Tribolium castaneum: one gene and its partner. The protein of the gene in region 2 interacts with the protein of the main gene of each other region in a pairwise test. Links are inferred from orthologs where the notes say so. Each region holds a gene or a part of one and is shown on either strand. Other genes may lie near its edges.

Region 1 (6,211 bases), on a different chromosome or scaffold from region 2:
TCATTCGACTGGTTGGAAAATTCCGAGACATTGATAGACAATAAATTTAAGGACGTAATTTGATTTTAAATGGAATTAAATGAAGACGAAGCCTTAATTAGATATCCGTATTATAGACTCGTTACAAGAAAAGTGTTTTAGCAAAGCGTTTGCTTAATTAATAGTTGGCCAAACGTCCTCAATTTTGTCATCTTAATGAGTTCGCTTCACAATTAGAGTCTTCGCAAGTTTATTATTGGATCGAGTCTAATTCTGGAGCGCTTAGAAATCGGAAGTATTACTCAAACATTCCGGTGTCAATGAAACGACGTGTTAAATAGATGCGTCTTGAAACAAGAACATGTAGGTAGAAAAATTCCTGCCAGCTTGGAACCGTGATCACTTGCAATATACTTCCTGTTTTTGGCAGCGTCTTGTCCATTTCTCTTATAGATTAATCTTTTATTCAATGACCCAGATTTAAATTAAGCAGAAAATTGTTGTTCGTTCCAATTCCGAATCGAGAAACTTCAATTAAGTGCGCCCATAAACCACTCCAGGTGCGGCTAGTTCAAGACAAAACACCCTTTCCAAGTTTGCAGTTGTGGAACATTTTTGATACACGATCTTAAAAGAAAAAATCCCACAAATCCCTCCATTTATTTCGCGCCCTGCATTGGACATCTTCACTTTATTTCAAGGTGTAAAATACTCCAACCAGGAGAAATAATTAATTATTTTTAACTGAACAGAGAGGCATTAAAAGCACGCAAGGTTCGTTCCCATTGTTGCCATCAACATTTTGTTGGGGAGTAAATTTTTGAGTTTAATTCTCCGCAGTCACGACATGATGTGATTGTCCGGAAGGCGCAGGTAGTGTCGCTGAATGCGAAGGTCTGAGGAATTTTGCATTCACCGGCAATTCGTTCCAGCTTAATCAATGGAAATTAAGTAATCAGCATTAACGTCTGTCCGTGAGATTTGCCGTAATCTAATAAAGTAAGGCGGGGTACGTAGTAAAATCTATTAAGGGAGTTCCGGAGCAGAGAGCACATCGAAGACGTTTACAGCAGGTCGCAGTTAGCTCAACTTTACGGGCACGCCATCAACAGGATATTGGGATTTGGTGGCAGTAAACACCAATAAAGGCGCTGCTTTCAAACTGACCCCGCAAATAAAAGCAACTGCTGCCAATACGCGCTATAGGCCACTTAAGTTTTTCGATAAAAAATTGGAAAAATCTTAGAATACACCAGACGACATCTTTTGTGAAAAGTGCATACAGAACATTTTCGGATCGAGTTCCAAATCATTAAGTTTCGCTTTGAAAACATAGTTAAACGCCAAGTATTCACATATTTTCGGAAATCAAAGACTTCAAATGATGTGTATTAAAAATTTGTTGCGGTTTGGGACAGCATGACATTAAATCACACGATATGTTTAAAGAAAAGTCTTAAATAGATCCACTTTACTAAAATATGACCGTTAATGCCGTTTGCTGTTTATTTTCGGAGCGGCTGAAAATGCGCGATATGTTCCAGTGGTAATAATGTAGGAAATGTATGAAAATTACGAGGTGTGGTACATGTAAAATTAATTTGCTAATTTTAGTAATGACACAGAGGCACAACAACGTAAATGTGCTAAAAATGTGGCAGAATTCAAAGATCCACAAAAATCTAAGCATATATACCAATGAATGTGTTCTGTTTAGTCAAGGCCTTGCCCTATAAAATTCACAGCTTTTGTGGCAAACCATGTAAAGACCAATATGAGCATGTTCATAGGAGGAGCTCAGCTAACTTGCAAATCATTTGGGGGATTATGGAAATGTAACAATCCTGTACACCGTCTCGCGTACGATCTTATCCAATGGCAATTGGGTCAAACGGGAATAAAGTCTTATCTCTGGGATTACTAAAGTTTGAAAGTTTCAACTTGTTTACTTGCATTATGAAACGTAAGTCTTCCGACGAGATACAATTGAAAGTTGAATTTTTTTGATTTATGTTAAGCCATTTCGTTTAAATGTACCAGAGCGTAATTTAAGTTTTATGTGCAAAAAATACCTATCAAATTAAATTGTTTGTAAAAGAAATTAATGAAGGGGAAAGATGGGTTTGTGGCGTTCATTCGTTTTTAAATAATGACCTCGCAAATGAAGTGACGTAAAAAGCTATTACCAACGCTTAAACACTTTTCCGGATAACAGAGAATTTTTAATTGAAACTACGGCAATTTACAATTTTGTAATTGGAACATTAAATCCCTGGTTTTGAACAGCCTTTTGCTGGTAAATGCGTATCTACTTTTCTACTTATTACCTTAGTAATAATCAACAAATAAATGTATTAGTTAATACTAATGTTCACGTAAAAATTGATATTGTCTAATTCTGTTAGCATCATTTTAATTTTTTAATAAGATTTAATAATCCAATGGGTCTTTTTATTGGATGAGAAAATGTGGTACAATGTGTTGTGTTTAAAATAAAGCATCGTGATCCACAAAACAGCCATAAATACATGTCTGTATAAAATTAACAGCAATGTTTTGATCTTGAATATAAAAGTAGATGGGGTATACGTGAGTTCATTGGCATAATACCGGATGGAAAAACTAAAAGCAGAGATTGGCTATATCCGGTTTTCCAGTCATGAAAATTTAAGCAGGGTTGTGCGATAACACTAATAAATCTAAAATAAGCGTAATTTATTATTAAAGTGCAAATGTTTCAGCAATGCCGTTAGTTTTGATATTGACCACACCACATTTGCGACCGTAGCCATTAATTAAAATGCTAATTAAAAGCCGTTGAATTTTTTGCTTCCCAAGCTGCGAAAGATTCAAACGATAATGTTAGCCCAGCGCGTTTTTTCAATGGTCAACAATTAACTTAATCTTTCTAAAGCCTCACTCTTATGGAATTTATTTTAATTAATTTCGCTTCCTCTGAAAGTTTTTACGACACCGCTTGACAAGTTGTACCGGCGAAGATAAAACAAAAAAGTAGTCTAGTGTTCCAGCCACCGATCTAATTGTTCGCTCTTCTTTGCGGCTTTCTACAAAGAAATTAAAGTAGAGCAATAAACCCAAGGAACGCTCTATAACAATGCCATTAATTTTATTTATCTTGTCGGATGAAAATTTACATAGTTTTCCAACTAGCAAAATTAATTAATCCGAATTTGGACGTAAAAATCGGAAATAGCAGCTGCCATGTCCGTCTTGCATTTTTTATGAAACAGGAGGGTAAAACGTTTTGGCTGTGATGCATATTAATGAACGAGAAGACATTTTTCCCTTCGATAAGTGCCTGAATTAAATTTTAAAAGTTTCGCTCGTGTTGTGGTTTATTTTTGGTTGCTTTCGCAAACCGGGTTTAAGGATGATTTATGTTGCTTTGACAACAAAAAGAACGTAAAGTATTCTTTTAGAAACAATATTTATACCTGACAGAAATAACACGTGCCTGTCCTCGTTTGTGTGCACTCAAAAATAATACGCTTGTTTATTCGTCGAAATGTGTGATAAAATGTATTCCCCATGCAGGATGATTTTAATTATTTAAATAACACCCGAGCGCACAGTTAGTAAATTAACAACGTTGGGTAAATATCTGGAGCTGATTTCATAATAGTGAGAGACTGACCGTTTTGAATCCTCGATACATGATTCTAATTTCCTGTCGTGTGAACTTGGTGAGCCTGCAGAGGTCCTCTAGGGCAACAGGCACGGGCTTGGGCACCCTGGACGGCTCTATCTCGAACACGACCTCCTCGATAGGGCTGTCTGACGGCGTTGCCATGTCTTCCTTTATTCGTCGTGGGCTTGTGGAAGACACATGTTAGCATTCTCTTGCAAGCACCAACTATTCTATCATCTGCCGCATTCGCATTTATTCCGGTCCATCTCTCTATTAATAGAGGCCTAAGCTATCGAGCGACGATCTCCGCGTCTTTATTACCACATATTAATCTAACTAACGCATCACTTAATTATTGGTGTTGGATGTGGACGTTGTGTGTGGCGATGGAAACGGTTACGGAGCCACCGGATTCGTGGTAGGCATTTCCCGGATTCGCCCGGACTAGAACTGGTCCTGTATCTGAGCTGCAGACTGCGCCTTGTTTGCGCACGCCCTGATATCCTGACATTATTTCGAAGGAAAACGTGCAGAAGCACACTAGGCAAATGTAAGGGCGACTGCGGACGCGGAAACAGCTCCAGGAATTGAAGAAATACAAGTTCTTTCAACATTGAGTCAAATGGAAAAAAAAATTGAAAATGCCCAAAATGCCGGATTATCTTTGAATCAAAACTGACGATACGTGTGATAGTGATTAAGCAGAACGAAATTGTTAGTAAATCGATTCATAATAAAGAAAACTGTAAAAATCTTAAATGCTTCTCACTATTCATTGCAAATATTTAGAGAAAAATAACATTAAAAAATTATGATGTTTAAACAAATGTAAGTAATCCTAACACATGGTGTCTTGTATCGTTTATTAAAAAAAGATAAACACTGAACACATGTTTATTTTTACAGCAGCCAAATAACATGTATTATTGCAAATACGCTATTGAAATGCGACATATGTTTAACAAACTCATCATCTGAAAAAATAATAAACCAAAAGTCATTCATTTCTAGTTATATCCATGTTACTCTATATTTAACACTTTTATTGTCTGTTTTCATTCAGTCAATTAACTCGATATTATTAGGCAATAAATTTTTGTGTGGGAAATACATTATCAATTATAAAAGACAAATCATATTGTTGAATTAAAAAAAAATTGTAATGACTTGATGGCACCGCCATATTGAACGCCACGACTGATTCAGTTAGGTAAAATTTAAGATCACTTAAAATGCTAAATCACTTGTTTTTGCATTTTTATATTTTTGAAAAATAAAAAAAATATAAATTTTATACTAAAGGAATTACAAATTTTCGGCGTTACTTTAAACTTACTCTGTTTAGAATGAGCTTAAAATAACGCATAAAATTTATATTTTAGATTTAGGTTATTTTAAAAAAAAATTGAACAGATCAATTTTGTTTTTATTTTTTTATGACGTCATCATTAATATTATTAAATGTTTCCGAGAAAAACGCAAAAAAATGTAAATAGATAATTCAAAAAGCTTTCCAACGATAGTACACTTTATGGGGCTATCTCTAATAGTTCCGGAACTATTGCTCAAGAAATGTTCCGGGTACCCAAAACCGACAAAAACTGCGACGAAAATTGAAAAAATCAAACATAAAAAAATCGAACATTTGGACTTTTTGTGGACTTTTAACAACTTTAGTGGGTTGTTAAGACATGTAGAAGTCCATAAAAATTTTCAGGAGTTAGTTTAAAAAAAAATTTTTTTTCACCTCTTTGATGGGTAAGTGAAATGTACTCAGGAAATTTGAGCAAAAAAATTGAAAATTTTAAATCTCGTGAAAAGTTGGTATAATACAGAAAATGAGCCGCTGAATTCAATGGAACAAACCGCATTGCTCTACGACTTTTAGTTTTCGAGTTATACATTTTTTTAATAAATAAAATTTTTCACTATGACAAATGGCCACCCTAAATTTAGGCAAAAAATTTTAAATTTTTAATTCTTGTGAAAAATTGATATAATATGTAAAATGAGCCGTAGAATTCAATGGAACAAACCGCAATGCTCCACGACTTTTAGTTTTTTTTTTATAAATTTTTTTAGTGAAAAATTTGATCGCCTCTGTAGCCGGAACCGTTGCCCGGAGCGGCTCCGGGTCTAGACGAAAAAATAGATAAATTTAAGCGCTATCAGATGAATTTTTGTTCGTTGCTCTAAGTCTTATAGTTTTCGAGAAAAACGCAAGAAAAGGTTTCCATTTTCACTTTTTTTCAATTTTCAATCGCCAATTACGGCGAAACTATTAGAGTTATCGAGAAACAGAAAAATGAAAGACAACCGGAATAAAAAACTCTATAAAATGGCATAGGACTCAAGACGATATCTCGCAAAAAATTTTTCAATTTTCAAACGCCGATTACGGCCAAACTAAAAGAGCTAGAAGAAAACGGTTTGTTCCATCGTAAAAAGCACATCAAAATCTGTAAGATAGAATAGGTTTCATTTGATTTTAAGACACTTTAAAAATTGACCGATTTTAAGGGGGGGGGTGTTAACTTTTTTTAATTTTTTTTTCTTTTCTCATTTACGGCTAAACTATTCTAA
Region 2 (6,308 bases):
GGGTGCTCCCTGATCAGCCCCCCGTAGGCCTCCTGATTCCCATTCAAATGGTGGGGCATCTCGTGGTTGCTCAAAGAGCGCTCCGCAGGCGAGCTTTCCCTCACTTGGGGCTTGCTCATGCTGGGGTCCCTCCTCATGGAGGTGTACTGTAGTATCTGCTCCTCGGGCACTGCCGGGGGCACGTTGGTGTTCCTGTGGCGCAGTCTCGGGGGGCTGGAGGAGCGCAGCGAGTTGCTGCGTGCGACGTTGGAGGTTTTGGGGAGGAGAATGCCGTTGGGGGGGTTTTTGCCAAGGCGGCTGTCGGAGCGGTGGTCCCCTCTGACGATGGTTTTGAGGTCTAGGATTTCCGTGGGGGTTATTTCGGAGGGGTCCACGAGGGGCAGGGGCCGATTTGTTGATTTGAGGATTTGGTTGTTACCCACAATCGAGGCCCACTGCAGTGGCAGCCCCACATAGCGCCCCTCGCGTTTGTCAAACCCGGTGTGGACTCGATGCTCGAAGTTTGTTGGGGGCGAAATTTGCGGTTTCTTCTTCTTTTTCGAAAACATTTCGGTCTGAGACGGAATCACAAGTAGGTTGCTACGCCCCTTTACACCGTTTTTTACGACCAACGGTAACAGTGTCAACACACATAACCTGAACTCGATTGTTTATTTGATACGTCACGAGACATTTTCACACTTTTTTAGTATAGTAACTAGAGGGAAGGCACTAGTTTTTGATTATTTGTTGATTTTAAGTGAAATTAAAGACGAAAAACTGAGGAAATTAAGAAAACATGACACCAAAACACTCAACTTCGACGATTTAAGCGATTCGAGCGCCACTAACCGGTGACTTTCACAAGCGTGATGGAATTTCTTAGGGTGGGTTCACACGAATTTTCAAGAAGTTGAGTTGCGTAACGCAATATAAATCACACGAAATGTATAATTAAAGTGAGATTTGACTTAAGTAAATTCGATTATGGCCAATGATCGGGAGATAATTTATGGTAAATTATTTAATAAAACAATTCACAGTTATTAAAAATCGAGCAAGAGGAAATTGTTTAATGATTAGGTTCATTCATGCATTAAGTTGCATTAATTTTTAACTAATTAATTTTAATGACAATGATAAGTTCTCGTGTTGATATAAATTCAATCATGTAAAAATCAAGGATAGTTTGATAAAAATTGAGAACGGCGGAATTGTGAAAATTTTGAGATACGCCAACTCGATTTTTTTCTTTAATTTATGCTTCGTTAAATATTAATTTTCTGGTGAACACAATTAAGCTTTTTCTTATTATTGTCCCAGATATGCTCAAAGCGAGGCAATTGACGTCACTCTGACGCACCATTTTTTTAATTTTGGACCATCAGACCAAATCAGAACCAGATAAAAAGACATAAATTTTATTAAAAGCCAACACGAAATAAGTATCGAAATTACTGGTCGTTAAACGATAAACCCAATAAAACTGTAGTAAATAAAAATGAATAAACGAAAAGATAAGTACTGCATTAATGAAATGTATTATTTTATCGTTTTAAGGTCAAAAATCGATAATGTAAAAAAAAACATTGGTCACGTGTCCCACGGGCGGGCGGGAAATATGAATTAATTAAAGTTTCGTCTATTGTTTGGTATTAATTGAAACCGATTGTTTATTTTTTGTTAGTCAATAACCTTCCAACGGACGTCACTAATGCAATAAAATAAACAAATCATTTTATCAGTCTATAAATAAATTGGAATCGCACTTGCGGCATGTTAATCAATTGTTTGTGTTAACCTTTGCCATATTACTCAAAAAAGTTCCGATATAATTGTCAAAAGTCACTGAGAAATAATAGAAAATTTCCTCTGTGGCACGCTGTGACGTCAAATGGTTCTTCTAAGTCCCTTGTTTACTGTGTGTCATTATCTCTATTACAACGCTTTAATATTAGATATGTAATAAAAATAATAAAATAAACAGACCTTAAGTAAAACATGTGCGTAATTAATATTTATTCGGATAGGGCAATCGAGTTCAGCTTAAATTTAAGTAGCGCATGCGCGTCTTAAAAATGTGACAGCCCAATATTTTCTTTACTCTTTTAATCCATTAGCATTAGTTGACGGCCGGTGTCGGTGTCGAACGTTCTGTGAAAGTCTGTGCGATCTGTTCGAATCCACGTGACCGTCGTCTGGAACCACCCTCCCCTACAATGTCCCCGCGTCGAAAATGACCCAAAGGTACTAAAGGGATCCGAATCGTACTCCTCTGATCCATTTTTTTCTTCGTTCTTCAACTCGGGATAAACAGTTCGAAGGTCGCTGCTTACCTGCGAAATGCTATATTTTATACGAACGTAATTGCATTCCAAATACAGAAATAAATTAAGTGACTCCTATTAGGTCATCATTGTACGTGAATGTACCGGATATTGTTGATAATGTGTCGTTTGGGGCTATTTATATCGCGGTGGATAAATTGCCACCCGCGAGGAGAGGTACTCCAAGGCGCAAAAAGGACCACACGTGCTGTGGGAGGCACAAAAATTAAGCACGTGGGCAGCAAGATGGTCCCTTTAGTTTTCAACTCTTTTTCTAATTTTGAAATCTATCAACACCTTAAATGGAACCCCTTTATTTTACTTGCTTTTATCTATTATTTTTAGTTCAAGAAGTACTCCACACAACTACTTCAGCATTAATAAAAAAGGCTGTACTGTTTTATTTGATCTCTACAGTTTCAGCGATATTAGGTACTAAACTTATAGTGGCGGTACCATTTTTTAGGTATATGGGCTAATGATTAGTTGATTACTGATTAGAGTTTAATTGATTACGCTGTAGGAGTTTTTTTCTTTAAAGAAGTATTCCTACTCTTTTTGAACTGATGTTCAAAATATGAATTTAAAAAAATACTCAAAAATAGAGCATTTGTGAAAAATCTATTCCGCTTTCATTTAGAAAAAATATATTTCAAAGATCCACTATACCAACGTTCAGAGTAGCTTATTATTAGTTGTTTTATACATTCAAATTTTTTGTAATTTGGAAGTTCATGTTCGAATGCAAAAAAATACCTACAGCTTTTTGGAACTTTCAATCGATTAAAATAGAAAAACACTGCTCAAAACAATTAGTGAATATTTTATACATACTTTTGTTGACATCATTGCGAAATAGAATAATATAAACCTGTTAGATATTGCAAAATACTGTATTAAAACATCACAAAGCAACATGTGTATTTTTTTCTGAAAAAAAAGATTTATAAAAAACAAAACCTCAAATAGGTTTATTTTTTGAGTGAAAAAAAATAAATCCCTTCACTTAAGTAGGTAATTTTCAACCACTTAAATATTTTTAGAAGGGATTTTAGAACAATAAAATGAACATTTTTATGCCAAAATTTACGCCCGGGCACCTTTATGCCCTTACTTTCTTTTAGATTTTCTATAAAAAATTGGGAACTGACCTGGCCAACTTACTTCGAATTAATCAAATTTTATGTAAGTTGGCCATGTGAAGAAGATAGTGAATTTTTGCTAAATGTACCTATGAAAGACGCAATGTTAGTGATTTATTCGCCAAGAAAAATACGAAGCAAACGTTAATGGAATAAAATGTAAAAAAGAAAAGTCACGTTTTCCTTATTTAAAAAAGTATAAGTACCTATAATATTTTTTTAATAACAAAAGTGAATTTTTATTTCATGATCTTCGGTTCCGAATTTATAAAGAACTATTTTCTTCTCACCTACTAGAAGAATACTACAGTAGTTGGTTTTTTATTTATTTATTTTAAATAAACCTTCTTTTGATATTATCGGATGTTATTTTTTTATTTTATTTCTTCAAGTCTTCAGAACTAATCTATTGTTGCTACTACATTCCATTTCCTAAAAAATGTTTTAAGCCCAAAATACAGAAATTTTTTTTCTAGCAGAGTACCTAGTTTTCTTAAGACAATTTAGAACAGTTTTTATTCACTTAATCCCAAATGTCCTCTTACTTTAAAAATAGACTGTTCGTTTCATAATTATTTTTTTTAACTAAAAAATTGCTTTCAATGGGAAGTTCAAGAAGTACTTATTATAGAAGTCAACTTTTTTTTAATATTAATTTTTAAATACAGTTTAACTGCACAATGAATACAGTAGAACTGCTCTACTTACTCAAAATTAGAAAATATTTAATGGAGAAGCGTTTAGTTCAAGAAGTACCCATTGTAATTATTAAAAAATGTTCTCTTTAGGTTTCAGAGTACGAAGCTTACATATTCTCAGAAAAAAGACATGTTCTCTATGGAACATTTATTTTTTTATATTTATATTTTTTTACCAAAAAAAAAACATAATAAAACAAAAACTCAGGGTTGTTCAACTTTATTAACTAAAAATAATGAAGAGTTATCGAGATACAATAATAATTATAGTTTGGTTTATTTCTTTTACGAGTATATTTCCATATTGCTCCAATTAAAAATTCAGTAAAGCCACAATTTCCATTAGTTTCAAGACCTGAGCTTCAAATTTTTTAATCGGATTCGGTTGAAATAACTCCTTCCACGCCGCTAACCACTCGCACAATCAATAAAGTTTTGAACTTGCAAGTTACTATCAACTTAATGTTTACTTCGGAATTTATCAAATTATGCAACAAAGCTGAAGAATCTCGGAACAACGCCCAGAGGTCATCTAATCTCCGTTTTCCTAATTTTGGGCAACACGAAAGAATCACGTGTGGTAGTATCACTTCCCGCTGCGTACCTAATTAAACACCGGCGTGTAATTCTGCATGTTTATGCATAAATGAGTGACTCTTGAACACTCAAATCCAGCAATTTACTCAGATAACATTGTTCTCTCCTCATATATTATGTCTTTATTGCACCTCTCCAGCAAATAGCGTCATTCCGTGGGTCGGTCATACCGTTGTGCATCTTGCCACCAAGTGAGTACTAATTCACTTTTCTTCTTTCAGACCAACCTCCGGATGATTTCGTATTTGTAATGGAGTGGTAAGTGACAAGCCAGTTGCGAAACGTTCTGACGTCAATCCTAAATGACTTAATGTAATTGACCCACGAAGAGCGGCTTAACGGGGGCCCACTTGCTCTTAAATCCGTTCTTCGGTTTTATCGGTGCGCTGCAATATCAACGCCATATATGCCCGAGGTTCGGCCGGATTGAGGCCAATGATAGCCGAGCAAGGCCACCGTAAGGCTCCATTTCACGAGAGAAAGTCAGCAAAAGACTAGTGATAAACCCAGCACGGCAGAGGCGGCTCGTACCGAGAACACCACATCTAAAAAACTGCTTCTTATGAACAACGGTGTTTGAGTTAATTGTCGGACGCCTTTTACACCACTTAATGGCTGTTTTTAAAGTTGCACTACCGACTGCGCCAAATCGGCAAATGTTTAATTATTTGTTGGGCACGAGCCGCCGCTGGCAATAATCACAAAACAAACACGATAAGCCTCTTCAGTTTCAGTAATTTCTGGTCGCGTCGCGTGGAAGAGGCTTCGACGTCCTGGTGGTCCTCCAAGCACCACTTCGAGGACCTCCTGAGCCATGAGATGATGGCCAGCGAAGACTTGCGCGAGGTTCTTCGGCTGAAAGCCGAGCGACACCGCGAGTATTTCAAAAGTTTAGCAGAATGCGATAATGCCGGCGGTGAGGTTGCGGCACCACATGACGAGATGGCACCACCTAGCGCACTCGACGCTGACTTGGACGACGCGACTACAAAAGAACCCAAAAGGCAGCGCCGTACCGGGGTGTATGAACTCAAATCGGGGAGCATCTTCAAAAGTGTGAAACTCCTGAGGGAGAATTACATTGCCATGCTACAGAAAACGAAAGAGAGCTTCCTGGAGAGGGATGAAACGCTGCTTGCACCCCCCAGTGGGTACAGCACTGGCGCTAGCGACGACGAGCGCGAGACAAAGAATAAAGTGCAAAGGTGTGGAAGCAGCGATTCGGCGATGGGGCACAGCGAGGACGAGGGCTGGAGGGAGAGGCAGGACGTGAAGAGCCCCTACAGCCCCCGGGGCTCCATCGACCACGACAGTGTCCCAAGTCGCACTCTCCTCGAGTCGAAGTGCGTGCCGCTTCCGGTCGACCGGAAGTTCAGTGACTGTGCCAGTGATTGTGACTTTAATGACAGTCGGAGGCATAGCGTGTTCACCGACGACGGGGAAGAGCCCCGCTGTCGGTACTGGAGGACCCCGTCGGTGGTTGTGAGTGATTATTCCGACGATATCATGGGACTCACTCTTGAGGACATTGAATACATCCGGAGTCAGCGCAAGGAGTCCTCTTC

Evidence for each region.
Region 1: the proteins of IP3K2 (region 2) and Kv channel-interacting protein 1 interact in a two-hybrid assay, tested with the Drosophila melanogaster proteins (2 studies listed by BioGRID). The link is inferred for Tribolium castaneum from reciprocal best matches to the Drosophila melanogaster genes IP3K2 and CG5890.

Annotation. Positions count from the first base shown.
Region 1 is NC_087397.1:4,402,459-4,408,669, reverse strand, and holds the start of Kv channel-interacting protein 1, read right to left. Parts: upstream 4,094-6,211; 5' UTR 3,791-4,093; coding exon 3,635-3,790; intron 1-3,634.
Region 2 is NC_087402.1:3,991,592-3,997,899, reverse strand, and holds the start of IP3K2 (inositol-trisphosphate 3-kinase A), read left to right. Parts: upstream 1-2,079; 5' UTR 2,080-2,215; coding exon 2,216-2,226; intron 2,227-4,964; exon of another isoform or gene 4,965-4,993; coding exon of another isoform or gene 4,994-5,001; intron 5,002-5,471; coding exon 5,472-6,308. Other genes in the region: serine/threonine-protein kinase PAK mbt, read right to left, coding at 1-548.